Linked DNA regions of Canis lupus familiaris. The protein of the gene in region 1 interacts with the protein of each later gene in a pairwise test. Links are inferred from orthologs where the notes say so. Each region holds a gene or a part of one and is shown in the gene's direction. Other genes may lie near its edges. The genes, in order: RBPMS, CNNM3, ZBTB32, RUSC1, SH3RF2, CSN3 and NEU4.

Region 1 (4,127 bases):
TGATCCCAGGACCCCAGGATCATGACCTGAGCCAAAAACAGATGCTCAACCACTGAGCCATCCAAATACCTGCAATTTTATTTATTTTTGAAATCTCATCAGTTGTCTCATTCTGAGCAAGCTCTCTATCTAGGTGGGTCTCCCCTGCAAAATAATGCCTAAAGACTACTACCATGAATCTGCCTAGTGTCCTTGTGGTGGCTCCCTATGCTGAGACACTTCCACTTATTCAGTCCCTCCTGCAGGGGCTTTGTAAAGATGTGATGTCATTCAAGGCTGAAAATCAATCTCTGATAAGACTGTGTTCATTTATTCAAAAATATTCACCGAGAGCCTACTATGTGTTAGGCACTGTCTAGATATTGGGGACACAACGATCAAATCAGACAAAGATCTTCTTCTAGCCCTTATTTTTTTTTTTTTATGCCAGATGTCTTTGACTTTTAACAATGGACAAAGTGCTGGCAAAAGAATCAGGTTCTACATTTGGAATTAGGCCACATTTCCCTGGACGGAGGTAGCAGCAGCATCCTGGAATCATACAGCACCTTCCACCGACTTGTAAGTGGAGTCTGACTGGAATCATCAATGACTAGATCAACTGTCACTTTTCTTGGGCCTTTGCCAGGCTCCAGCAAGACAATATCTTTCTGTGGAGTGTATTCAGTACCTGGCAATGGCCCAGGAGGGCAAAGGGCCTGTGTTTATTGGTGGCGCAGGGGCCCAAGACCACCACGCAGCCATTGCTCAGGAACACATTGCCCCCTCGTGGTTCTTTACGTAATTGAGGGAGGGACTGGGATTGGAAAGGCTCTCCAAATTTCCAGATTAATCGTGGTGGCCTTTGCCTCTTCTGAACTTCCATTGCAAGTTCAACAGTTTCTTGGTTTATTTTCATCCAGGATACGCTTTCCCCCCACCCCCCCCACAGAGGCACATGACATCCTGACAGCAATTAAACCTATTTATCAAAAGCTTCAGACTTCCCCCACCCCCAACCCAAGAAAACCCCAGTAAGTGAATGCAAGAATTACCACTCTGTTTTTCTTCACAACGCTCGTCACACAAGTATTTTCTCTGCTTTCTGCTATTTGAACCAGGATCGCTGATCATGTGGCCATGGAGTTGTTTTGGGTGTCTCGTCTCCACAACACCAGTTAAAACTCCCTAGAAGCAGGAGCCTTATCTTCACCCCCACCTCCACCCCACCCCCAGCAGCACTTAAACCAGTACAGGGTGAAGAATGTCTGGCGGGGAGGGGGGAGAGCAGAGAAAGATAAACAGTGAAGCGAGCAAATAAATAGAAGTTGTGATTGGTACTGTGCTGGAAAGGAACAGCATGTCGTGTGAGAGAATTCCTGGGCGTGGGAAGTGAGGGAGAATCTTCTGATAGAGGCCCTTTTAAATTTATGTGTTTATGATACAGGAATGGAGAAGCTCTCTATGGCCCCGGGAAAATGGAAATTTCCTTAATAATAATGCTAGTTTCCCTGTTCTGTAAACTTACACCGGGCAGGAATGAGTGCTGGGTGCTCTAGCTCTACCAACCTATAATCTCCTCTAATTACAACCCCCCTGGGAGGTAACTATAACTACTCCCATTTCGCAGGTGAGGAAACGGAACCCAGGCAGTCCTCTGGCGCGTGGTGCTTAAACAGGTACTGGGTGCCCCCCTCCCAGAATGCTGAGCCCTTTTTCTTCCTTAAGGGGCTTTGACCCTCCGAAGATCATCTGGGTTGGCCTCCAGCTCGGCTCGCCGTGAGCAACAGTCACTTAGCCAACAAGTATTTATTGAGTGCCTACTGTATACCCGGTAGCGTATTTAACTAGCCGTGGGATTATCAAGGTAAACAAGGACACGGTGAGGCTGGCGTTGCGTTGTGGGGAGGCTCCCCCGGAAGGGTGAGGGAGGCAGGCAGGTAAGCAATTCCAGGACGGTCTGCTGAGGGCCGAGAGAGGGGCCTGAGCAGAGGGGGGCGCGAAGCCTAGCAGAGGGCGAAGGCCGGGGCTGAGAGCCTGGGAGGGCCCGGCGTGGGAGGTGGGTTTGAAGCTGCGCCCTGGAAACGCCGGCCCCGAGCCGGCTGCCCCCGGACCTCGCTCGTTCTCTCGCATCCTGTCATTTCGAGCTGCCAAGTAGGAAGGGAGGAAATAGGTCTGAGCCGGTGCTGCAGAGGCAGGGCAGGCTGAGCGACGGGGGCGCGATCCCCACGGCGGTAGCCCACGGCGCGTCCCGGGCGTCGCGCGGGCCCGGCCCGGCGCCCCGAAGCCCCTCTCCAAGCGGGCGCGCACCGCCGCGCGAGCTCGCCAGCTCCGGGGGCCCCCGGGGGCCGGGGAAGCGGGAGGACCTGGCCTCCCTCCCTCGTCCGCCTCGGCCCCTGCCCTCCGACCTCCCGCCGAGTCGGGGGGCTGGGGTCGGCCGCTTCCGCCCGCCGCCCCCCGCCCCTCCCCGGCGCGCGCCATCCGGCCGCGGGCGGCCCCTCCTCCCGAGGGGGGCTTCTGCGTCCCGCGTCCCGTCCCTCCGGGCTGAAGCTGGCAGCCCACGTCTAGGGAGGGCGGAGGGAGGAGGAGGAGGAGGGGGAGGGGGAGGAGAGAGGGGAGGGAGGAGGGCGAGAGAAAGGGAGCTGCTTGGATCCCGTACTTCTCAGAGCCTGCCTGGAGCGCGCACTCAGCGGCTCTCCGGGTCCCAGCGTCCCAGCCGCGCCCCGCACCTCCTCCTCCTCCTCCTCCTCCTCCTCCTCCTCTTCCTCGGGTCTGGGCACCCCTCGCCCCCTCCCTCCGGCCCCCGCCAGGCTCGGGCAGCGGCCGCCCCCAGCCCCGACGCGGCCACATCCCCAACTCTCTGGGCTCCCTCCTGGGACGCGCGCCCGCGCCCCATCCTTTCTTCCTTCCTTCCTTCCTTCCCTCGCGCCCGCCCGCCCGCCCGCGCTCTCCAGGTCTCCCTCCCGGTCCCGATTGTCTCCGTCCCCGCCGGCCCGCGCCTCGCCCTGCCCCGTGTCTCCCGCGCACTTCCTGGGTCGCCTCGCCTCGCCTCGCCGCGGAGCCCGAGCCGCCGCTGCCCCGGCTCCAGCCCCCGCAGCCCGCGGCGCCCGCCCGAGGGAGCCCCGGCGCCCGGGGAAGGGACAAGCGGGCGAGCGCGCCCTCGCCCCAGCCCCGCGCCCCAGCCCTGCCCGGCGAGGAAGGACCGGGAAGATGAACAACGGCGGCAAAGCCGAGAAGGAGAACACCCCGAGCGAGGCCAACCTTCAGGAGGAAGAGGTACCGGGGGGCTCGCTGCGGCGGGGGCACGACCTGGGCGCCGCAGTCCGGGGTCTGGGCACGGCCCTCGCCGCGACCTGTGGCCCCGGGCCGGGGGGGGGGCGGCGGGGGGGGTCTCTTCGCAGAGCGCGTTTCTAAAGTTGCGTAACTTTGAGGACTTTTCGGAGTTTGCTAAGTATAATGCTCAGCTTTGTCTGCGTGGGATTTTAAAAGCGGAATCGAGAGCTGACTCCCGGGTGACCTCCGGTTCCTGGGACCCAGAGGGTCGGGACCGAGTCTGCGACCGGGGCTGGGAGTGGGGGGTGTTTGTGCGTGCGGCGTGAGGAAGGAAGGAACTCGGGGAAAGTTCTCGGCGGGGAGACACCTTCAGTTCCCTGCCCCCTCCCCCTCCCTTTTCAGTGTTAAAAGTTCTCGGTGCGATCTCTTTCCAGCTGAGGCATTCTGGATTAATAGATAACTCATCAGCTGCATTCTTCTCTGATGAGTCAAAGACCTCGAATCTGGGTGATTAGGGTTTGTAAATTTTAGGGGCGATGCGGCTGGGGTGGGGTGGGGGAAGCCGAATAAAAGAGTTTGAGAGTTTACAACTCGCCAAGAGATCATCTTGGCTGTTTTAATAGCACTTTGACTCCTGAGCGTGAATTTTATGTGGTGCGTCCGTAACAAAGTTAAAAACGTTGCGGCGGCGGAGCGTTCCTTGGGGTAGAAACCCCATTTATCCGTGGGAGGGAACACCTGAACGGACGGTTTCAGAATTTTGTAGTTAGGATATTTGTGGTATTCTTTCAAGTGGCTTTGTTCCTGCAGGTATGTTACCTGGAGTCCAAGAAACAGTACATGTTTCGCCTGCTTTTTAAGTTCTCCCATAGCTG
Region 2 (4,201 bases), on another chromosome or scaffold:
TTTATGTGGACTTGGGAGACAGAAGTGTGAATCCATAATTTTTTTTCTTCAAAGGAGGCATGCTGATCCAGTGGAAAGGCTCAGTAGTGTCATTGCTTCTGCTGGCTCGTAAGTGAGGCATAGCACCCTCTAGATAATAAAAACCAAAAACATGGAGACGTGGTTGGCCTAGTCACAGCGCTGAATTTACAACGTTGAAGAGACATTCTCACCATCCTTTGAGGAGTTTTTCACAAAGTATTTTTTCTTTTGATTATCCACAATGGGTCTGCTCATTTTTGCATGTTGCCTTCCACCCGTTTTACTTAATTGTGGTCACAGTGCCTACACTTTTTCTTACTATTTCCATGACCTAGCAAATGTGTTTCTGTAGAATCCTTAGGAAAATTTTAAATGACATGTAGATGTGCACCCTTATCAAAGTCTACTTTTGTTAGGAAATTTGAAAATACATAAAAATGTAAAGAAAATATACAAAAACAATCTGGATCCTTGTAGAAAAGACTTGTTCAGTTTGTCTCCTTCCGGTCATATAAAGATCATGCACAACGGGTGAAAAGCATTCCATACCGTCAAGGAACCATATTGCCTTCTAAAATAACTCTCTAGTAAGGATCCTGTTGAATAGTTCTTGTTCCCGAGAAGATATTTTCCCAAGGATTATCTGCTAGAAGTAGAGTGACCGGTAACAGGAATTTTTGACCGCGCTGCCCCTCTGCTAACGTGGCTGGGAAGGTGACCGGGGTAGTAAGTAGGTCGTGTTGGATCCTGCATCCACCCTAAGGCACGCTTCACTTTTCTCCTGTAAAAGTAGTTTGAGGATCCAATGAGGTAGCGACTTCGTGGGTTTACAGAATTACCGTCGTTCTCTCTGGCAGGAATGCAAGGTCCTTGAAGGCAAAGGGCTAGGTCTCACGTCCCCAGCCCCACAGAGCACAGTCGGGCGCAATCAGCCCTAAGAAGCTTGAGCTTCCCGACGTCGGGGCCCCTAGGTCAGCGGTGCGCGGAGCCCTTCCCTAAGAAACGGTGCGGCCGCCACACACTGGCGTCTCTGGCTCCGCGCCCCGGCTTCCCAGAGCGCAGGTGCGGCCTCGGGGCGCGCCGAGGGCCCGCGGGAACGGGACGCCCAGGTCGCCGGCCACCCCCCTGCCCCGGGAGCCGCGGCCGAGCCCCGCGGCGCCCGCAGCCCCACGCCCCACGCCCCACGCCCCCGGCCCGCCCCGGGATCGCGCCGCCGCTTGTTTACTCCCGGCGCAGCCTAGTCCGACCCTGAGGCCCGCCCTCGCCCGCCGCCTATTGGCGGAGGAGGCGCCAAGGCCGGCGACCATTGGGCCGGGGGAGGCGGAGGGGTAGGCTGCGCGGGAGGCCGAGAGGGGGCAGCGGGCGATGGCGGCGGCGGCGGCGGCGGCGGCGGCGGCTCGTCTAGGCTGGTTGCTCGCCGCGCTGTGCCTGGGCGTCGCCGCCGGGGAGGCCGCGCCGGGCCCGCGAGTGCTGGGCGTCTGTCTGGAGGAAGACGGAGACGCGGGCGCGGGGTGGGCGCGCGGGGGAGAGGCGCGGGCCGCCCCGGAGGCCGCCTTCCGCCTGCGCCTCTTCGGCTCGGGCTTGGCCAACAGCTCCTGGTCCTGGGTGGCCCCCGAGGGGGCGGGCTGCCCCGAGGGCGGGCCGGCCGCGACGCCCGGGGAGGAGGAGGAGGCGGCGGCGGCGGCCCCCGCGGGCGAGTGGCGTGCGCTGCTGCGCCTGCGCGCCGAGGCCCCGCGCCCGCACTCGGGGCTGCTGGCGGTGCGCGGGGAGCCGGGCGGCTCGGCGGCCCGGGAGGCGGCGGCCCCCGCGGGCGAGTGGAGCGCGCTGCTGCGCCTGCGCGCCGAGGCCGTGCGCCCGCATTCGGCGCTGCTGGCCGTGCGCGTGGAGCCGGGCGGCGCGGCCGCGGAGGAGGCGGCGCCGCCCTGGGCGCTGGGCCTGGGGGCGGCGGGGCTGCTGGCGCTGGCGGCGCTGGCGCGGGGCCTGCAGCTGAGCGCGCTGGCGCTGGCGCCCGCCGAGGTGCAGGTGCTGCGCGAGAGCGGCACGGAGGCCGAGCGTGCGGCGGCGCGGCGCCTGGAGCCCGCGCGGCGCTGGGCCGGCTGCGCCCTGGGCGCGCTGTTGCTGCTGGCCAGCCTGGCGCAGGCGGCGCTGGCGGTGCTGCTGTACCGCGCGGCCGGCCAGCGCGCCGTGCCCGCCGTGCTGGGCAGCGCGGGGCTCGTGTTCCTCGTGGGCGAGGTGGTGCCGGCCGCCGTGAGCGGGCGCTGGGCGCTGGCGCTGGCGCCGCGCGCGCTGCTGCTCAGCCGCCTGGCCGTGCTGCTGACCCTGCCGGTGGCGCTGCCCGTGGGCCAGCTGCTGGAGCTGGCGGCGCGGCCCGGGCGGCTGCGCGAGCGCGTGCTGGAGCTGGCCCGCGGCGGCGGCGACCCCTACAGCGACCTCAGCAAGGGCGTGCTGCGCTGTCGGACCGTGGAGGATGTGCTCACGCCGCTCGAGGACTGCTTCATGCTGGACGCCGGCGCCGTGCTGGACTTCGGCGTCCTGGCCAGCATCATGCAGAGCGGCCACACGCGCATCCCGGTGTACGAGGAGGAGCGCTCCAACATCGTGGACATGCTGTACCTCAAGGACTTGGCCTTCGTGGATCCCGAAGACTGCACGCCGCTCAGCACCATCACCCGCTTTTACAACCATCCGCTCCACTTCGTCTTCAACGACACCAAGCTGGACGCCGTCCTGGAGGAGTTCAAACGAGGTAACTGCGGGACATCGGGGAGGGGACACGAATGCCAGCGCCCTCCGCTGGAAGAAAGGGGGGAGGGAGTTATGGAAGCCTCGAGGGAAAGGGTCCCATCCTTCCCTCCCAGGGCCCTTTGAGATGATGGCCTCACAGGGCTCAGTGGCCTCTTGAGATACCTAAAGGCTGTCCTTCAGGGCGCCGTAGAAAGCAAAATCCCCCTTTTCCTGGTAGGCCTGATTTGGGGAGCCGTGTCCATTTGACTTACCAGCTTCAGGGTCATTTTTGTGGGCTTTGGCTTTGTAACAGGCCTATACTCTTAAATAGAAAGGAGGATAGTCTTCAGACACCTGGATGTTATCACCTGCGCACACAGTGTCAAAACAGCTGGGCCTGTGAAGTTTCCAGCGATCATGGTTTTAAGGTCTCTGATGGGCTGCTGCCTTGCTGATAACAGAAGAAGGGATGATGCCTGATTTTCTGCAGGTGTGGAAGAAACTTCCACTTTGATTTCACCAGAAGCAACCTTATGGATGATTTAGTCTCCCTCTTTTCTTTTCTTTTCTTTTCTTTTCTTTTCTTTTCTTTTCTTTTCTTTTCTCTTTCTCTTCTCTTCTCTTCTCTTCTCTTCTCTTCTCTTCTCTTTTTTTTTCTTTTCTTTTTTTTTAACTTCCTCTTTTCTAAGACTGAGATCTTTTGGCGTCTCCCTTAACTCCACAGTTCACCTCCTTTTACCTTGGTTTATCTGAGCAACTCTAAGGTCACATGGGTAAACATGGAGACCCAACCTCCAAGTGTGAAGGTATGGGTTCCTCTGTAGTCCTCTCCATCCTAAGGCGTGGGTGTGCTCCCCAGAGCGTGGCTGCTCTTTGTCCACCAGCCATGCTTCTCCTACACTCCTACAGGATGAAGACGGGGGACACCCCAGGGCTCTGGATGGGCTTGACCCTAAAGGCTGCATAATGTGAGGCTGGGAAGAGAGCAGATCCCCTGATCTTCCTGGCAGCTGTGAAGTCTGCTGGCCCCAGGCCACAAGAGTATAATTAGTCAGGGCGTGGTATTGAAAAGTTGGGCAGTTACTATCCTTACTGTACCTGAGGATTGAGTGGGGAGGCTTTGCTGTGCAGCTCTGACAGCTTGCTAGAGCATCTCTTGGGTGCTCGTGGCTCTTTCTCCCAGAAAGTGGTAATGCAGTTCCTCTGTGGGGAGGGGATGCCCAGGTGGGGTCTCTGATCTCTGGTGGTGAGTACTCCATCTGGGCCATTGTAGTACTCGAGGCAGTAGAGGTTCTTGTGGCCTGGTGGCCAGGACTGCCAGCCCTGGAGTGTGCAGAGGTGGGTTCCAGCCCGCCCCTGTCACATCCCAGCTTGAGACTCTGGGATGGCTGGACTGGATCCTCCAGGGCGCTGACTTTGAGCAGAGCACTGACTGATATGGAGAACAGTGAGTAGG
Region 3 (4,174 bases), on another chromosome or scaffold:
CCCAGGCCCCCCTCTGGAGGGTCCCCCAGCGCCCGTCCTTCGTCTCCAGCTCCTCAGCTAGCTGCGGGGTGGTGGGCGCCAGAAAACACTCCAGCAAGCCCCGGAGCTGAGCCGCTTGAAGCGCAGGGAGCGAAAGCCAACCGCCGCTTGAAGCCGTTGGCCTGGGCTCCCGCCTCCCGGCCTTCGGATCAATCAAGCAAGCCCCTGGGCCAATCAGAAGTGGAAGCGGTCGAGCAACGCCCGCCTCCTTAAAGCGCCCTCGCTCCTCATTGGTTGTGTCCGAGCGCGAACCCAAAGCCCTTGGAAGAGAGAGCGGCCAGCCAATCAGCAGCGCCGCCGCAGCCCGGCTCGGGGGCTGCTCCCTGCCCCGCGCGCCGCGAGCTCGCCGCCTGTCCGCACCAAACCCGGCATGAATGGGAAGCCAGCTGGCTGAGCTCTTAGCCCTGGCCGGTTCATGGCGGGGCGGAGCAATGGGCCATCCTCTCCACGTGTGTGTGTGTGTGTGTGTGTGTGTGTGTGTGTGTGTGTGTGTGGCGGGGGGGGGGGTGGCTAGTACGTGAAGTACGCAGTTATCCCTGGCTCAGCTGACAGGCAATGAGCATTTGAAGCGCGAGCATCTAGACCAATCGCGGGTCAAGGCACTGCCCCCTCTTGCGCCTCCCTCGTCCCCGCATACTTCCAGGTGAGGCGGGGTGCGTTCTGCAACCAATCAGTGGTGGGCAGGACAAGAGGCGGGAAAGGGGAGCTGCCCACAGGCACCCCGAAGCCTGGCCGACTCTCGAGGGCCTCCCGACCAATCACAGACACACACTGCATAGACTGTCAGGGGTTGAGAGAGAGGTGAGAGGGTGTGTAACAGAGCTCGTCAGGGTGCCAAGACAGAAGCAAGAAGGCCGTTGAATCCTGAGCCCTTGCGGAGGCAGCTTCCAAGACTATTGAGGCCAAGGAGGTTCCGGGCCAAGTCTTTCCAGAGAGAGGGTGGGAAGGGGCAAACTCCGCAGCCGCTCAGCAGGGGAGGGGACAGGCTGGAGGGTGAGACCTCCGCCTCAGAGACCTGAAACCCAAGCCCACCGACCCATCCCCATCGGACTCAAGGCCCCGCCCCTCGGCAGAGCCAGGGGGGCGGGAGGGAGCTCCGCAGCCAATCGGCGGGGGGAGCGGGGCGGGGGCGGGGGCGGGGGGGCGGAGCACGGGGAGCTGTCCGAGGTGCCTCCGAGGATGCTGGGCATGCTCAGCAGGAGGCGGCCGGCGGCAGCCAATCGGCGTCCGCGGCGGAAACCAGGCGAGACCCGTGAGCTGTGCACGCGCAGGGCCTCGAGCTCCGGGCCTCGCGCCGCTCCCCACTCGCCGCTCCCCAACGGCCACTCGAGCTAGAGCCGCCCTCGGTGTATGTGACTGTGGGAGGAGGCACAGGGCCCGAGTCGGTGAGTGCCATGGTTTCTCTTACGCTTCTTCAGGCCTGGGACTGGCCCAAGCCAAGCTGGGGTGGGAGGGCCGGAGCGGTCGTCGTGAGGGTTGAGAAGCGAGAGTTGAGGACTCTAGTCCCCGGGGACTCCCTTTTCCTGGCAAGGATGGCAGTGGGGCCTCCTGGGCAGGCACCTTTGGACCCGGGCTGGGGCAGAGGCCAACATGCCCTGGGTTGGTCCACAGTCCCTGAGGCTGACTTGATTTGGAAGTGTATTGTGTGGCCGTGGGAGGCCCTTGGAGCTCTGCGTGGCTTCGTTGGCGGTGAGGTATGGCCTCTGATCGGTGACAGGTTGCCTGAGGTCTCTGGCCTGAGTCTGGATGTGGTGACTGGAAGGGGAGGCCTGTGACTCTCCAGAGGTTATGGGGGGGGGGGGGGGCGGGGCATTACTGGCCAAAAGATGAAACTAGTGTGCTCTTGGGAGATTTTCTGGGGTCTTTGGATCCAGCCTGGGCTGAGAGAGTTGTCGAGATTGGAAGTCCAATGGGCAGTTGTCAACAGCCATTGCACCCAGGCTGTGCTAAGAACATGCAGCTGCAAGGTTTTGGGGGTCGCTGGACTCTAGGTTGAGGTGCAGATTTTCCACTATCAGGTCCAGGATAGACAACTTGGCCAGGAGGTTAGGCCCAAGGTCTTCTGGAGGTTCTTGAGGAGGGAGTTTCTGAATCTCAGGTTGTTTGCCCTCCATGAAATATTATTGCCGTGTGGCTCTAAAAAAAACCAGGATTGGGTCATATTAGGGCCTTTTGGTCTGCTCTTTCTGAAACCCTGGTCATTCTCAGAAGATACCAGGCTGTAAGAATGGAGCCAGATGCATAGGGAAGATGGATCTTGTCCTAGAGCACAGGAAGAGGTGTGTGAGATTTCCTGCTCCTTAGGAAATCACCCAGCTTGTCATTACGGAAGATTTTTTTTTTTAATTCTTATGGGACAGGGTGTTGATATCTAATTTCACTCAGCTGGACAAGTTCTATGTGGTATTGAAGCTTTCAGAGTGTTTTCATGTACACCCAGAATTCTTAAACCTTGGGTAGGGGGGTGCAAGGGGGAGTGGTCTATGAGTGGATTTAAGGGTTTTGGAGCTCCTGGAAATCACAAGAAAAACTATATGCATGTTGTATTTGGGGGGGGGGCATGCAAAGCAGCCACAAGGATAAACAAGGAGTATCTAACCTGTCCAAGGACTGACTCCAGCCTGTGAATCCCTTGTATGAGTATCCACAATTTTCTGATGTAAAGAGTTGATTCTGTGGCTTACAATTTTAAAAGGGATGGTGATCCCCTTAACCTATGTTAAGAGCCATTGGAATAAAGCTGGTTCCTGTATTATTCATGGGGCTGAGGCAAGACTAAAAATGAAAATTTCCCCTTTTCTTCCCACACCTGGTGTTGGTGCACATTTCAAGGCATCTCATAGATTAGTCTGCATGTCTGAGCTCAGTCTACCTGTTCCTCACACACAACTAGGGCCTGGGGTGTGTGTATCGGTTTCACAGTTCACCCTCCTGAATATAGACCCAGGGTTGAGGGCTGTCCTGGAAGGAGGCCATTTGGGTGAGGAAGTCCAGGGTTCCAAGTTCCCAGAGCATGGCCTAGAACTGGGGGACACATGTTCCCAGTGGGCCCTTCCTCGATGCTCTTGGGATCCTTGGCCCAAGGGGGGACCACAGCCAGAGGGGGTCAGAGCAGGTTTAACACAATATTGGCATTCAGTATTGCTCTTGAAAGCAGTCCCTGTGAGGAAATTGAGGATCTTAGAAGAGTTAGCCCCCGTATTAGGACTGAAAAGAAAGGCCACCCACAGAGAGGATGTAGTGGAACCTAAATTGTTTTACTTCTAGTCTAGTTCTTTTTCCACTTCATCCACAAAAGATATGCTATGATAGGGTCTCTATGACCTAGCTGCAGCTCACCTGGCTATAATTACACTGGTTCTTAAGTTATATGAAATACAGATTGAGGGGAAGAAAGAAACTAATTTACTCCGTGGTATGTATCGGTATGTGTTGGATGTACTTCACTAGAAAGAGTGGGCATTTGAAAGTTTAGGTAAGATTTGGATAATTGGTCTTCATCTGCATTATAAAATGCTGTGGGGACTTTAACCACTTTGATTTGAAGAAAGAGATGCATTCCTGAAAAAAGTGGAAAGTTCATATAATTTTTCTAAATTGAATCTTTTTAAACTTGACTTTGGAAGTAGTATCTGAAATAAGTGAGATAAAGGGAGAACATTTGTCATAAAACAAATAATCACCCCGCTAATCAGCCTATTCTGTGGCTTAGTTTTAATTATATTTAAGGAGAATCCATAATTGTATTGCTGCGTTGACATTTTTATATCAAGCTGAGTTGTACCTGCAGGGGCATATGAAGGAGCTCTGGTCAAGCCTATGAGAATAAAAAATACCAGACATTAAACTTTATTCAGTAATATGAGTATTAGGAATGAGGGGCAAAAGTCAACTCTTTTTCCCACATACTTTCTTCCAGGTATGCCCTATCTAGTCTTTCCTATCCACTCTACCTTCCCAAGATGCAGGTTTGTGTCCTCAGAATCAATGGTTTCCTGAGTCCACCCCAGGAGACAACTGCAGGTGATTCCTACAGTCAGCCTGGGAAGTAGAAGGTGGACAAGGTTTTTGAGACTGTGATGGGGGACTTCTCAGGAATAGAAAAGAGTTACAGTGTCCCTACCCTTCCAAGTCA
Region 4 (2,783 bases), on another chromosome or scaffold:
CAGGGTCCTCGGGTGAGGCGGCGCTGCCCCGCCCGCCCGTGGGGGGCACCTGGCCCCGCGCCTCGAGGCCCGGGCGAGGGGTCGCGGGCCGGGGCCTGTGCGGTGCTGGGGTGTGGGGGGCACAGTACGCCCTGCCTCGCTCGGGGGGTGAGGGGAAAGCAGGCGCCGGACCCCAGTGGGCCCACGCCCGCGCCTCCCAGCCTACCCCCCTCCCCTCCCCAGGTCGCCTCTTTCTCCGTGTCTCCTCCCACTCCCTTGGTCGGTCTGTTTGTCTGTCCATTGGTCCTGGCCCCCCACGTGCTCCCCGGGCTGCCCTCCCCCCACCCCGGCCCATTGGGCGGGGCGCGCGGGGCTGTCCGGGCGGAGGTTGGCGCGGGCCCCGGAGGGGGAGGGGCAGCGAGCTCGGGGCGCCCCACCCGGCCTAGGGCCCTGTCCCTGTCCCTGTCCCTGCTAGTTTCCGGCCCCGGGTGCTGCGGGCGACCTGGGCGCCAGCCCGGTGCCCTCGGGTCACCGTGGTAAGTGCCGCCTTCTTCCTTCGCGGCAGCCCAGAGTTCCTGGTCGTTCGCCGGTGTCCCCGGGGCCCAGCGACGGTGGATGGCAGAGGCCCAGAGCGGGACCGGCCAGCTGCAGGAGCAGAAGAAAGGTAGGACGCCCGGACCTCTGACCCCAGCCCTTGGGTTGGCTGCTGCTCTGTTAGGCCTCGGCGCCCTGTCGGCCTGTAGGAGCCTGGGTGTCCGGCCCTGGGGTGTTTGCCACACAGACGTGAGCTCCCCACCCGCCCTTTGCAGGGCTCCTGATAGCTGTGAGCGCCTCCGTGGACAAGATCATCTCGCACTTTGGGGCGGCCCGGAACTTGGTTCAGAAGGTGAGGGCGGCGGTGGGGAGGCTGTGGGGGCCCCTGAACAGTAGGTGGGGTGGGGGCAGCAGGCACCTCGGACAAGCGGGTTGTGCCACCCCCAGGCCCAGTTGGGGGACAGCCGTCTGAGCCCAGATGTGGGGCATCTGGTGCTGACTACCCTCTGTCCGGCCCTGCACGCCCTGGTGGCCGACGGCCTGAAGCCGTTCCGGAAGGACCTCATCACGGGGCAGCGCAGGAGTAGCCCCTGGAGCGTGGTGGAGGCTTCTGTGAAGCCAGGTGAGGTCCCCTGAGGGGGGTGCTGGGGTGGGCAGGCCGGATGAGGTAGGGGTAGGGGCTGGAGCTGGTGGGGTGGGGTGGGGCACAGGTAGGCAGGGGCAGGGCAAGGTGGGGCAGGGGCAGGGGCAGGGGCGGGTGGGGTCCTGGCTGATAGTGCGGTGTCCACAGGTGCCAGCAGCCGGGCGCTGGGGACTCTGTATGGCCAGGTCAGCCGTCTAGCCCCGTTGAGCAGCAGCCGCAGCCGCTTTCACGCCTTCATCTTGGGCCTCCTCAAGTGAGTGGCTGTGTTTCTGGTGCCCCTCCCATGGCTTGGGGGCCATCGGCGGTCACGGGTGGAGGGACGCAGCGTCCCTGAGGTGGCCTCCCCTCTCCGAAGCCCTACGCCGGCCTGAGCTCCTGTCCGTTCCCCTCCAGCACCAAGCAGCTGGAGCTGTGGTTCTCGAGCCTCCAGGAAGATGCAGGTCAGTCGCCCATGGGTAGGGCAGTTTGCCCACTAGGGGCAAAGAGGGGGGCACTGTCTCTTCTGTGGGTCCCCCTGGTGCCAGAGGGACCTTGATCCTCATTTCCAGTTTGGTGACTTAGACTTCTAGTGTGTCCTGTTCCCCCCTAGCAGGAAAGAGCCAGATCCTCCCTGAAACCTCCAGAGTCTTGCATGTTGGGCCTCTTCCTCCTTCCCAGGCCTGGGCAGTGTTTTTTTCCAGCTCCTTACCCCAGGGCCCTCCTTTTGCTGTGGTCACCTCCCCTCCCCCCAGGAAGTCTCCCTCATCCTTGGGGACCTTGTTGGGAGGGTCCCAGGGAGCCCACTTCCCACATTGTGTCATTGAGGGGCCAGGCCTCCTTCCTGCCATTCCGGGGTCACCACTCAGCCCATGGGCCTGGGGCTGACCTGGGGGCTGACATCAGCCTGCTGTCCCCAGGCCTGCTGTCCCTCCTGTACCTGCCCACTGGCTTCTTCTCCTTGGCCCGGGCTGGCTGCCCTGCCCTGGCCACGGAGCTGCTGCTCCTGCTCCAGCCACTGTCTGTGCTCACCTTCCACCTGGACCTGCTGTTCGAGCACCACCACCACCTGCCCCTGGGCCCCCCACCCACCACTGCCACCCCAGGCTCACCTCCTGCCCTGCAGCAGACGGTGCACGCAGTGCTGCATTGGGGGGGGCGGCTGGCCCAGAGCCTTCGGGGGGCCCCTGGGGATACGCCTTCTGGCCCTTCGGCCCTCGAGAGCACCCCAGCGCCGGGCAGCTGGTGGGAGCAGCTGACCCAGGCCTCCCGGGTCTATGCCTCTGGGGGCACCGAGGGCTTCCCCCTTCCCCGGTGGAGGGCCTGGCGTCCAGGGACGGCGGCTGGAGGCCCCCACGACAGGCCCCTGCCCACAGAGGAGGCCACGGCCGGCCGAGGTCCGTGGCTGGGGAGGCTGTTTGGAGTGCCTGGGGGCCTGGCGGAAGGGGACGGAGGAACGCTGAAGTCCAGGTACTGCCACCACCAGTCTCCTTCTAGGCCTCTGATCCTTTCTCAGAGCCCTGTTTGCCCCAGGGGGAACCTCGGGGGATCCTTGAGGCCTCTTCGTTGTGTGAGAACCCGCAGGGCACTCTCTGTGTTGCCTCTTGGCCTCAAAGATGGAGATATTTACTGCCTGCCCTTTACCGAATCT
Region 5 (4,344 bases), on another chromosome or scaffold:
AGAGGGCTCAGCTTTACCAAGTGGGAAAAAGTAAGGGACAGCAAAGGGCCTCAGATAAGAGACTTCCTGATGAGCATAGAATTTATAAAAGTGGAAATTAATTGAAGGAGAACAGGCAACAGAATTGGATTTGATGTTGTGGAAGCCCAAAAAAACCTTCATAAAGAGAGATGAGAAAAAGAGTTGAAAATGGTTTCTGAAATTGGCATGTACTCAAATCAGGTCTCTGTGCTCAGAGGACAGATGACTTCATCTGCTGCATCCTAATGCTCTCCTCTGTTGTGAGCTCCATGCATCTTTTCTTTTTCAGAAATAACATGGAAAAATTTTGTAAAACATGTAATCCGCCACCACCTGTTATCTGGCGTCTTGGTCCCCTCTTAAGATATTCCCATGGAGCTGTAGCTAAGTGCTTTCTGCATCATAAAGAACTGTCATCCTTAAGTTGAAAGAAGAGATTTAGTTTAAAAAAAAAAAAAAAAGAATACCAGTTTCTAGTCCCAGTTCTGCCCCTAACTTACTGGGCAACTTGAAGGAATCTCTTGATCTCTCTGGGCACAGCTCATCTGCAAGGGAAGTTGATTGGTCAGCTTGGGTCATTATCTTTTGACTTCCTGCCATCCCCAGATGCAGTTTAGCTCCCTCCAACCATCTCCTCCCCTTAAAGCTGTATCACCATAGGACATGGTAGTACGGAGCACGGAACACCTGTCTCTTGCTGGCTGTGACTCCTGGAATGGGTTATTTAACCTCTCTGTGTCTCAGTTTCCTTATTTGCAAATGAGGGTAAAGAAGAGTATAGTGTATTACTGGCTTACTAACAGGATTGAGTTATATAGGTAAAGTAGAACAGTGCTTAGCACAGATAAGGGCTACTCTGGGGTAAGATTATCATGAGTATTTACTTTATGGAATAACTATGTAACTTTACATGAAATGTGTTACAGATAAATCAAGACATCAAAGTATTAGCATTATTTGGAGCTATGGAAAGATTCCAGCAAGCATGGGGCAGGGAGAGAGACTGAAACCATTCCTTCTTCAAAACCCTTCTGTGCTGTGATTTTTCAAAGGTGTACATGTACTACCATGATACGATTTTTTTTTTAATTTAAAGAGATTGAGCAAAAGAGATCACTAAAGGTCCGTCTCAAATGTACAAATTCAAGGACTGACTGCTTTTCAAGGAGAAGTACTTTTTAGGTGGCGGGCTTATCTCTGTTATAGCTACCGTTAATATGTTTGACCTTTTCAGCAAATCCTTATAAAGGTTTAAAATACACACAGTCACCTTGGCATGTTTATAAACCGAGCATGTTTCAACTTCTGGGATAGGAGACAAAATGAGAAAAGTGAAAATATCAACTGCAAATATTTAGCCTTAGGGGCTGGCTTATATTTTGTCCCTTCTAATCTTTTCCCAGAAATCAACTCAGTTACACAAAGGAACGATGGGCAGCAGAGGGTGAACTCCCGAGAAAAGCGCTGCTGCCTGCCAGGCAGTGAAAGCGTTAACAGGGCTGAGTAAGGCGATCCTTGAAATGAGTAAGACTCAGAGTTGTTAAAGTTTTCAAAGCGCGGCAGCGGCTCTTGGGGAAAAGGAAGCGAGTTGGAGGGAGCCTGGCCAAGCCGAGGATGGAGGATCGCGCTGAGCTGAACTCAGCTGGGGTTCTGTGCTCAAGGTTAGTGCCCCCCCACACACACACATCTCCCCAGAACTGACGCCTTGGGAGAGTTGTCTCAGGAAGGCAAGGCGCCCTCTCTCCTCCTGGTGTGTCATGTCTGCTTTGCTTACTGGCGGGCCACCCGCCCTTGGGCTGAACCTCCCAAACCTCTGGGGCTGCTGTGCACAATTTTGGCATTTGTGAGGGACAGGTGACCTCTTCCTGGGAGACCTCTTTCAACTGGACACCTCTTTTCAGACGTCTAAAAGGAAACTTTCTGGAATAAGGATGTTTTCAGACCACACACACACACACACACACACACACACATACTCACACCTGTATACATTGTTCCATCTTGATTTTTTTTGGTTGTGACCACAATCCAGAATTGGGATCTGTTTCAGATGAAACTGAGAACACTTGTCAAAGTAACTAAACAGGCTGTGTGACTTCACCCTGTGGGAGGAATCTTGTCTCTGAGGCTAGAATAATCAGGGGAGAGAAGGGGGGAGAAAAGAAGGAAGAAAGGGATGGAGGGAGGGACGAAAGGAGAGAAGGAGGGGGGGAAAAAGCTTCCAAGCATCCTGGCCTGTGGTTAAGGCAAACAGTTTTTGAAAATGTGTTTCTCATAGAACTTTTTCTCATATGTTGCTAGAACAAACTAATGGGGGAAGATGCATAATGAAGGAGCTAATCCTACATCTGCATGAGATTCAGATAAACTTGTCTATATAAACTTGTCTGTTCTGCAGATAACAGATAAACCTAGGGGAAGAAGGAGGACTAGATGACTTCACAGAAATTGCATTTTGGGGGGGCCCTTGATGTGAGAACTGAAACTGATTGGTGGGGAAAAGAACCCCCTTTGAGCCCTCAGGCCACCTCAACCAGCCAGTTTTGTCTCCTTGCTCTTGCTTCCACACACAGAAGCAATGAGTAAGTAGTCAGTCACCATGGAGAATGCTCCCTGAGATCCTCCAGCAGGCAGGAGTTGAGCCTCATACCTGCTAGCACTGAATCAGAATGAGTCATTTGAAACTTGGGTGCTGGAACAAAGTACTTGCAAACTGCCTTATGAGACACTGCCTCCATGTAGGTGGGATATACCTCTCAGAGCAGTCCCATTTTCTTCATCTCTTCCTTTCTCATTCACACAGGCAGGAATTCTGACACTCCCAAGAGACTGGATCTGCCTCCTTGGCTCAGCTCACCCTACCATGCAGACTTTGCCCCTCCAGATCAGGATTGGAGTTTTAAAATAAAATGGATGATTTGACGTTACTTGATCTTCTGGAGTGCCCCGTGTGCTTTGAAAAGCTCGACGTCACAGCCAAAGTCCTCCCTTGCCAGCACACCTTCTGCAAACCATGTCTCCAGAGGATTTTCAAGGCTCACAAGGAGCTGAGGTGCCCCGAATGCAGGACCCTGGTGTTTTGCAGCATCGAAGCTCTGCCAGCCAACCTGCTGCTCGTGCGTCTTCTAGATGGTGTGCGCTCAGGGCAGAGCTCTGGAAGAGGGGGCTCCTTCCGCAGGCCTGGTGTGCTGACCTCGCAGGACAGCAGGAAAAGCAGGACTGACCCCAGAGGTCTGCAGTCCAGCCCTTTCCGACTGGTGCCTAATATCAGAATCCACATGGATGGGGTAAGAAAGATCTTATTTGTTCGTATTGTGTCCCTTTGGAGGTTGGATTTGTGTATACCAGCAGCTAGGAATTATCTTCCTATAGTTACATTTCAATGAGTGCTGCCAGTGATTCCCCAGAGAGAAGTTTCTATGGGCAGGGATCATTTTACTGAAACTTGGTGGAATCCTGAGCCTATCTTATCCATCCAGAAATTCTTAGAATTGTTGAGGTCTCCCCGTGCTGCTTGTCTAGAAGGTACTAGCACAAAGAAAGCCTTCGTGATTATTTTTCACCTTTCACTTCTGCTATTTGAGGCCAAACCAGTGCACAGGAAATGTGCAGAGGAGGGGGAAAAAGAGAAAACAAATCCAGCTGCTTTTTGCTTTTGAGATCTTTGAGAAGTTAAATGTCAGGTTTTGTTTTAATTTTACCCAACTCCATCTTCCCACCTCCAGTCCTGAAGTGCTATTATGACAGTGCTCATTCATGATCTGTTCGAAGTTATCAAGATACTTGAACACCCAAAGACTGTGCAGGAGGAAAGCATATCTGTGGGTGGACTGATTGATAGGAAGGCTGGGCTGTGAAGTACAACACGTGTGTACAGGAGCCCTGCAGATGTCTAACTCTACAAAATGAATCAAACATACATAAAATGCACCTCGGTGGCTGCCATAACCACAAAGGCCCGGCAGTGGTGCACAGGAGATCATAGGAACTCTTTTGGTGTTTGGATAACGCGAATCATTCTATCCAGCCATGCGATTGGATCCTGAGGACTCTATCTGACCTTGCTGCAAGCCTTTTGTGGGAAGCTGTGTTAAGGACACATCTTGAGAGGAGGGACGCAGTCCTTGTGAGTCCAGCAGGATTATGTGCACTGTCACCCCAGGAGTCAGTGTGTCAGAGCAGACACAGAAAGCTGTGACCTGGGTTACTGGCATACTTAGAAAGTCAAGGCTGCCTTCTGTGAAGTCTTACCTAAAGTGAACAGCTTTTTTTTTTTTTACATTTCATTATTCTTTTTAATTTATTTATTTTTTTAATAAATTT
Region 6 (3,047 bases), on another chromosome or scaffold:
TTTTACAGTGTCGTGAGAATGATGAAAGACTGTTCAATCAGAAAACTGTCAAGTATATCCCTATTCATTATGTGCTAAATAGCTTTTCTCACTATGAACCCAACTACTACCCACATAGACCAGCTGAACCAATTAATCATCAATATGTGCCTTATCCATTTTATGCAAAACCTGCAGTTGCAGTTAGGACACATGCCCAAATTCCTCAATGGCAGGTCCTGCCAAATGCCTACCCACCCACTATGATGCATCGCCCACAACTACATCCATCATTTATTGCCATTCCCCCAAAGAAAATTCAGGATAAGACAAGCATCCCTACCATCAATACCATTGCTACTGCTGAGGCTACACCTATTCCTTTCACTGAACCAAAAGTGAACACTGCAGTCACTTCAGATGCTTCCTCAGAATTCACCATCACAAGCACACCTGAGACTACCACAGTTCCAGTTACTTCACCTGTAGTCTAAAAACTCTGAGGAAACACCAAAGAAGACAACGCAGGTAAATGAGAAAAAGACAAAAATAAATAGTACAGACAAGATTCATGTATTTATCAGTATAATCATAATACCTAAAATAGTATAATAGATAAATTAAGCTTATTATGAGAGTAAGCAAAATGAGTTCATTATAATTGTAATTTGGTGGTGCCATAGCATTGATATACTAGATTCTGTTCCAATAAGAAATGAAATATCTTCTTTTACAAACTACAGAAAAATTAGAGATTTTATTAGCAAACTTTATTTCAATAATTGAAACACTCTTAGAATCTACTAGTTTTGTTTCATTCCTACTCATACACAAGGAAAGTAGAGTACCATATTATGTTAAACTTACGATTTTTCTTATTTCAAAAATAAATTTTTAGAACATTTATATAGAATATGAGGGTAAATACATTTTAAACATTTAACCATGTTCTTGCACTCTTAATTTTGCCCTGAATCAAACAAAAGGAAGTACATTTTCCATGCATTCCTTTATTTCAGACATCATTTCTGAAAGTGTCCAGGAAGCCAGGCACTCAAAATTTCTTGTATTCTAAGATGAACCCATGGGAAAATTGGAATTCCTAGTTTTAAAAGCACATATATACTAAAGGAATACTTTCAGAATCTTAAATGTGATGCCAACATTTCCATTTATTATTTGGATCAATGAATAATGGCAAAATCTAAACTGAAATTTATGGAAAGAAATTAAAGGGAAAGATAAATAAAATAGAGAATAACCAGGATGTGAAGTACTTTGGGGGAGAAAGTTGTAAAATTTTAAGGTTCTTTGAAATAAATATTTTCAGTGCATCACATTGTCTACACGTTATATAACCTGAAATACAACACAGTGACCTGTGATACAAGGGAATAGTATTAGACCAGAGAGGGTATTTGTTTCATCTTTGTGACTTAGGCAAGTCATTGCTCTCTCTGAACTTTCATTTTCTCTTAATTTTGGGTTCTATAGGGTTCAAGTGACAGTGCATATTGTGGAAAGATTGTAAAAATGATCAGTCTACAAAATGTATTAAAAGAATAAAATCCGTAAATGCTAAAATTTACTTTTAACCAATATCTTGTTCTTACTAAATGGTAGAAATGTTACATAGTTATCTCAGATTACTCCTATAGCAACCATATGGGACAGATTATATTACTATCTTGAATTCACAAATAAAAAATAACTGGCCCATGGATATTAAATAAATTACCACAACTCAAAAGTTCAAAACTGGGAACCAAACCAAACCTGTCTGGTTTCAGATAGTAAAGCAAAATTACTGTGCTATTTCTACACAGACTGTCTAATGCACAGAAATAGGGAAAACACATTATGGTTTTCTTAGACAAATGTATGTGCAAATTATATTATTTAGCTCTTATTTAATAGGACATATGGTAGGAAAAAGAAAGTGAGATGGTAGATAAATTTTTGACTTATTAAAATTTAGAAAATAAAATAAGAAAATTAATAGAAGCAACATGAAAGCAAGTAGTAAAATTACATATTTTATTGATTCAAAATGTTACATGATTCCGTTTCTAATGAAATAATCATTATTTCAGTAGTTATGAGTAAACTCATAAACCTAAATTTCTAAGTTAAAAACAGTGCATAATATCACTTATAAAGAAGCATATTAAGGACATTGTCTTAGTGTAAATATTAAGCAAAGTCAATTATTTTCAGTTACTATAAGCCAAGTTTAAATATTTAAATTTATAAAATCCTTGGAAACAGATATATGAGACAAATCACTTAAATAAGAGTCTACATGAGAACTATTAACATACTATTAGCTAAATTCCTCAACTTTCACCATTTTTTATAGGTCTTGCTGAAACCAAATGACTACTCCAAACTCTTCCTTTGGTCACTCGTCTAAATTCATTCAAGAGAGAATGTGATTTTGATGAATTTGGCTCCTTTCTCTTCTCATCTCACATTTTACATCCAGATCACATTTAATTTTTTGTTTCTTGCACAATAAAGCCATTTGAATGCAAGCGGATCTCTTAATTGAGGAGTCTGTGGATTATACTTCAGGGATCTTTGAAACCTTGAAATTCCAAGGCAAATTTAGTGTGAATTTGAATAAATAAGTTTATCTGGGGGCAAAGTTCATAATGTTCTCCAATTCTCAAAGTGGTCCATGGTCTAACGGTGATTAAGAATGTCTTCTCTAGTATGACACCAGAACATCTAAACTTACAAGTATGTCATCAGAACTAGAAAAGGATTAAGTTAACATTTTCCAATCCAAGGGACCACAAAGTGACTCTTGGGAACCCTGGAAACTCCATCAGCTTCTGTAATTTTGCCATGGATCTGTATTTGTAGCTGTGGTATCTATAGCCTGCCTATACCCAAATTGGCTCCTAGGAATTATCTAAAATTAGCAATACTGTGGAGCACTTAAATTTAATGTTAACTCTAGGGCAGCCCAGTTGGCTCAGCGGTTCAGCGCAGTCTTCACCCAGGGCCTGATCCTGGAGACCGGGGATCGAGTTCCACATCGGGCTCCCTGCATGGAGTGTGCT
Region 7 (4,003 bases), on another chromosome or scaffold:
ACTGCTGAGATGTTGCGAGTAAGAGGACACTGGACACCGAACACCGCTTCCCCAGCCCCGCACAGGGACGGGGAGCCACGGAACCCCAGGATCGCTCGTCCACGACCCCGAGGGTCAGCACAGCAGGGAAACCGGAGGCCGCCACGTCCCTGAAAGGCAGTGAGGCTTTACGGGGAAGAAACCACAGAGAGACCCCAGTCACACTCAGCGCCTGGAGCATTGGGCGGGCTCCACGGGTTCCGGGAAAGGGGCGCCCACGTGCCCGCTGCCACCAGCCGCCAGCCCAGGGCACACACTGCCCCCTCCCCGCGGCACAGACGTGGCTCGGCTCCCAGCTGCATGTGGGGCAGGAACTCGGAGGTGCGGTTGGAATCGAGGGTATTTGCTTTTGCCTCTGGTTGGCAGGAATGTAAACTGGTTTTGTCTCCGCAGAAGGAAATTCGGGATACTGTTACACTGTAAAGGGCACACGGTTGGAGGGAGGCGTGTCGGCAAACAGCCGGGAAAACCATGCAAACACCCGAGTCTCTGCGCCTAGGGAAGCCTAGGGGCACAGATTCCGGCACAGGACTCCCTTCAGCAGCCGGACGGAGAGACACCCAGGCCTTGGCAACGACAGGTGGCCGCGGGGGGCAGGGGCCCCTGCCACGGAGGAAGCCCAGGAGGCGGACCTTCTGATTTGTCAAGAGAAGCTGGAAATACAGGTTTTCCTGTGAAATCTCCACATTTAAAACGGCTGGTGTCTCATGCAAACATTTATCAGGGTGGTGGTGGGGGCGCGGGGGGGTGAGCAGGTGGAGGGGATAGAGCTCCAAGCTTCCAGCTTCGGGCCGGCTGAGGGCTCCGCGTAGAGGGGCGCAGCTGTGTTGTCTGCGGACACACGGTGGGGTGGCCGCGTGCTCCTGTCCCCTCAGCACAGACGATACAGCCTCAAACTAATAGAATATCGTTTGTCACAAGCAAAAAAACCAAAACAGAGCGCCCAGCTCTCTCGTGTGTCTGTAGAGGAGAGGGGATGGGGGCCTAGGAGGAGCCGTTCGCTCCCCTCCATGAGTGGACAGGAAAGATCATTACGAGCATACTTAAATTTTTTTTGAGTATTTTTGGGAGCGTCTATGAATAAAAGCTTTTCAAACGGTGAAGTGTTTGTCGTTCAAGCATTCCTCGGTGTTAACAACGTAAAACAAGCAAAGCCACACCCCAAGTCCCCGAGCAGAGGGAATGAGGCCGGTGTGTGGGCCGCCTCCTCCCGCGGTCCCAGAGGGCCCCCCTGCACGGGCCGTGCGGCAGCTTGGGGGCGCAGCGGGAGGCCCGAACCCTGGGCACAGAGGAAGGGAGACGGTTTGGGTGAGGCCCTGGGAAGTGGGGGGTCGTGTCTGATGTGGAGACGCTGGGGTCCAGATCGAACGACCAAGAGACGTGGTCGGCGTGCAGAGGTGAAAGCCCAGGGGCAGGACGCGGGCGTGGGAAGAGCTGTCCCAGCCCGAGGTGGGAGGGGGCGAGGGAGAGCCCAGTCGCCAAGTGACTTTGGGAGCCAGGGGGCCATCTGTGGTTAGGAGAGGGTCATTTAGCACCGGCTACCGGAACCCGGGTCCTGAGCCCCTCCAGATGGACACTGGGGGTTGTGTGCCAGGGGAGGAGCACCCACATGTGTTGCGGGGAGAGAAAGCCAGTTTCCTAAGGAGTTTCTACAGGTTCAGGTGGACTCGCAGGTCCTGGGGGGTCAGGCTACGGTTGCCCGCTGCCCTTGGCAAGGTGTCCCCATGGAGGCCGCCGAACCCCCAGAGGAGGGTCACTGTGCCCTCCTCCAGGGCCTCAGTGGGCTGCCCGGAGTGAGGACATGCACTGTCTCACATCCTCGTCTCCCCCTTCCCGTCCACAGCACAGCCTGGGCTTGCATCTGGGCACGGGTGGCCCAGGGTACTGACCTGGGGGTCTCCTTGCTCCTCTCCCCAGGTCTCCCGAGGACCTGAGCAGGTGGGTGGGTAGGCGGTCTCCAAAGGAAGCTTGGGTTGTAGGCAGTAAGGGGATCGAGGGGAATACCTTGTCCCAACTCCCGAGCCAGGGTGGATGGCTTCCTTTTATGTAGGGTCAGGAGGACTATTCGGGAAGGGGAGCCTTGTCATTGTCTGTAGAGGCGTAAAGTCACGCGTGTGCCTTAAGGAAACCTGCCGAAACGTAGTCGTCGTGTGTGATGTCCGTGCGGCTCGTGTCCTCCCAGGGCAGGGGTCTTAGTGTTATATGAGGTCAGGGCGACTGTGTGGTCGCCCGTGCCCCGTGGTCCATCTGCACAGTGAGTCGGGGGTGCGGCTCCCACAGTTCGGATGGTCGGGCCCCCAGAGCTCTTCCTCCGGGCCAAGGTTATTGCGGGGGGCAGGGGGGCCAGTTTCAGTGTCCATCCCGGGATGCGGCACCTGCTGGGTCTTTGCCCGAGTTAAGAGACCAGCCGGAAAGAAGAGCTTCAGGAAGAATGTGGGAGGGAGGTCAGCGGGTGCACGCGGGTGGGCAGTCCAGGTCAGGTGCTGGGGTCTGTCCCGTGGTCCTGCTGTCAGAGGGCAGGTCAAGGGGGTACAGGTGGGGCGCAGGGAGCCTGAGCAGGACGGCCCTCCAGAGAGCCCTTTCACCCACACCTGGGCTGCTGAGGGCCCCCCTGACGCCCCCGGGCGGCGGTCACCTGGACACGGTCACTGGTGAAAGGGCCCAGCTGGTGGGAGTCCTGACCAGGCCACGGGTGGGAGTCCTGACCAGGCCATGGGTGCTAGGGTGGGGGCTGTCCCCTCCAAGTCTGAGCCGGCCACCTCACATGGACACGGGGCTGAAGCCCAGTGAGAGCCCAAGGGGCCTGCGTTCTGGGTGTCCGAGCCGTGCTGGGAGGGTCACGAGTGCTCACTTGGGTTTCCAGGGGCAGGTCTCTGGAGGAGGCTTGGAGGCAGCAGAGATCTAGGGGTCAGCTGTCAGCTGCGGCCCTTGGCACCCGCGGTCCCAGCCCAGCCTTGTTGGAGGTGAGCCCCTAGTTCCAGGCACTGCAGGGCAGAGAGGGCTTCCCCCCCTCCCGCCGTGCCCATCTGCACCGCCCTCTCTGGGGGCCACACAGCTGGCAGGACGCAGCCCTGGGACCCCGCCAGTCCAGGCTCCCGCCCCGCACAGCCAGCCCTTGTCCCTGCTGCGCTCACTGGGTTGGAGAAGCAGAAGCAACTGCAGCTGCCCCGCAGCCAGCTCCACGACCTTCCTGCGACACCCGGTGAGTCCCCTCCCTGCTCGCCTGCCCCCGGCCCCTCAAGGCTCCTCTGTCCCCCCAGGCTGCCCTTGGGCAAGGGCGGGGCACACTCGCGGGCTGAGGGCCGCCCGGCCATATGCTCCACACGGTGTCCCCGTGGGACAGTTTCCTGGTCAGAGCGGCAGGTGCCCTGCAGGGCCCCGGGGTAGCCGCGGAGAGCCGGTGACCTGGCTGGGGGGCTGCGGGTCAAAGTGGGGGCGGGCCAGCCTGCAGGAGTGTGGGGCCCGGCTCCCCCAGGCCAGTGGTTTGTAACTGAGTCCTGGCCCCCGGCACGGCCCAGGACATTCACCCAGACTGGAGACCCTTCCGGAAGTGACAGGGCCAGGAGGCCCCTCCGCCAAAAGGCCAAACACGTATGCAAAACCCTTTGCTGTTGATAGGCACGCATTTAAGTGACTTTAAGTGACCCGCAGCAGGCTGGGGTCCTGACCTGGGCGGGGGCGGAGACCTGCTGATAGGAGGGTGGGGGTCGGGGGACAGCTGTCTGGAGGGTGGGATGTTGGGCACAGCCATCCTACCCTGCTCACACCAAGCCTTGGAACCTACTGATGTGGCCAGACCTGGCCAGCTACCCCTGAGGAAGAGAACTCTTCCTCCTAGGTTGAGGGGGTCGCCCTGGGACTTTGGGGTTCTGCAGAGACCCGGGCCCACATAGGATGGCCCGGGGTGCCCTGTCCTGCTCTGTGCAGGCGGCAGTGTGAGCAGCTGGTCTGTGCGGCCTCCATC

Evidence for each region.
Region 2: the proteins of RBPMS (region 1) and CNNM3 interact in binary tests that used the Homo sapiens proteins (3 or more experiments, as listed by UniProt). The two-hybrid records come from large-scale screens. The link is inferred for Canis lupus familiaris from reciprocal best matches to the Homo sapiens genes RBPMS and CNNM3.
Region 3: the proteins of RBPMS (region 1) and ZBTB32 interact in a two-hybrid assay, tested with the Homo sapiens proteins (3 studies listed by BioGRID). The two-hybrid records come from large-scale screens. The link is inferred for Canis lupus familiaris from reciprocal best matches to the Homo sapiens genes RBPMS and ZBTB32.
Region 4: the proteins of RBPMS (region 1) and RUSC1 interact in binary tests that used the Homo sapiens proteins (3 or more experiments, as listed by UniProt). The two-hybrid records come from large-scale screens. The link is inferred for Canis lupus familiaris from reciprocal best matches to the Homo sapiens genes RBPMS and RUSC1.
Region 5: the proteins of RBPMS (region 1) and SH3RF2 interact in a two-hybrid assay, tested with the Homo sapiens proteins (2 studies listed by BioGRID and IntAct). The two-hybrid records come from large-scale screens. The link is inferred for Canis lupus familiaris from reciprocal best matches to the Homo sapiens genes RBPMS and SH3RF2.
Region 6: the proteins of RBPMS (region 1) and CSN3 interact in binary tests that used the Homo sapiens proteins (3 or more experiments, as listed by UniProt). The two-hybrid records come from large-scale screens. The link is inferred for Canis lupus familiaris from reciprocal best matches to the Homo sapiens genes RBPMS and CSN3.
Region 7: the proteins of RBPMS (region 1) and NEU4 interact in a two-hybrid assay, tested with the Homo sapiens proteins (2 studies listed by BioGRID and IntAct). The two-hybrid records come from large-scale screens. The link is inferred for Canis lupus familiaris from reciprocal best matches to the Homo sapiens genes RBPMS and NEU4.

What each region holds. Positions count from the first base shown.
Region 1 is NC_049237.1:34,777,312-34,781,438, reverse strand, and holds the start of RBPMS (RNA-binding protein with multiple splicing), read left to right. Parts: upstream 1-1,327; 5' UTR 1,328-1,609; intron 1,610-1,707; 5' UTR 1,708-1,846; intron 1,847-2,933; 5' UTR 2,934-3,189; coding exon 3,190-3,255; intron 3,256-3,720; exon of another isoform or gene 3,721-3,735; coding exon of another isoform or gene 3,736-3,759; intron 3,760-4,127.
Region 2 is NC_049231.1:46,209,040-46,213,240, reverse strand, and holds the start of CNNM3 (metal transporter CNNM3), read left to right. Parts: upstream 1-1,386; coding exon 1,387-1,730; intron 1,731-1,841; coding exon 1,842-2,767; intron 2,768-4,201. UniProt on the Homo sapiens protein: Probable metal transporter.
Region 3 is NC_049222.1:117,766,359-117,770,532, reverse strand, and holds the start of ZBTB32 (zinc finger and BTB domain-containing protein 32), read left to right. Parts: upstream 1-1,324; 5' UTR 1,325-1,424; intron 1,425-4,174. UniProt on the Homo sapiens protein: DNA-binding protein that binds to the to a 5'-TGTACAGTGT-3' core sequence. May function as a transcriptional transactivator and transcriptional repressor. Probably exerts its repressor effect by preventing GATA3 from binding to DNA.
Region 4 is NC_049228.1:42,221,863-42,224,645, reverse strand, and holds part of RUSC1 (RUN and SH3 domain-containing protein 1), read left to right. Parts: intron 1-544; coding exon 545-643; intron 644-788; coding exon 789-865; intron 866-960; coding exon 961-1,135; intron 1,136-1,303; coding exon 1,304-1,409; intron 1,410-1,549; coding exon 1,550-1,596; intron 1,597-2,052; coding exon 2,053-2,602; intron 2,603-2,783. UniProt on the Homo sapiens protein: Associates with the adapter-like complex 4 (AP-4) and may therefore play a role in vesicular trafficking of proteins at the trans-Golgi network. Signaling adapter which plays a role in neuronal differentiation.
Region 5 is NC_049223.1:39,550,768-39,555,111, forward strand, and holds the start of SH3RF2 (E3 ubiquitin-protein ligase SH3RF2), read left to right. Parts: upstream 1-1,528; 5' UTR 1,529-1,682; intron 1,683-2,824; 5' UTR 2,825-2,930; coding exon 2,931-3,308; intron 3,309-4,344. UniProt on the Homo sapiens protein: Has E3 ubiquitin-protein ligase activity. Acts as an anti-apoptotic regulator of the JNK pathway by ubiquitinating and promoting the degradation of SH3RF1, a scaffold protein that is required for pro-apoptotic JNK activation.
Region 6 is NC_049234.1:60,686,177-60,689,223, forward strand, and holds the end of CSN3 (kappa-casein), read left to right. Parts: intron 1-8; coding exon 9-473; 3' UTR 474-507; intron 508-2,338; 3' UTR 2,339-2,495; downstream 2,496-3,047. UniProt on the Homo sapiens protein: Kappa-casein stabilizes micelle formation, preventing casein precipitation in milk.
Region 7 is NC_049246.1:51,660,778-51,664,780, forward strand, and holds the start of NEU4 (sialidase-4), read left to right. Parts: upstream 1-1,198; 5' UTR 1,199-1,347; exon of another isoform or gene 1,348-1,436; intron 1,437-1,882; exon of another isoform or gene 1,883-1,977; intron 1,978-2,902; 5' UTR 2,903-3,002; exon of another isoform or gene 3,003-3,094; 5' UTR 3,095-3,241; intron 3,242-3,262; exon of another isoform or gene 3,263-3,557; 5' UTR 3,558-3,630; intron 3,631-4,003. UniProt on the Homo sapiens protein: Exo-alpha-sialidase that catalyzes the hydrolytic cleavage of the terminal sialic acid (N-acetylneuraminic acid, Neu5Ac) of a glycan moiety in the catabolism of glycolipids, glycoproteins and oligosacharides.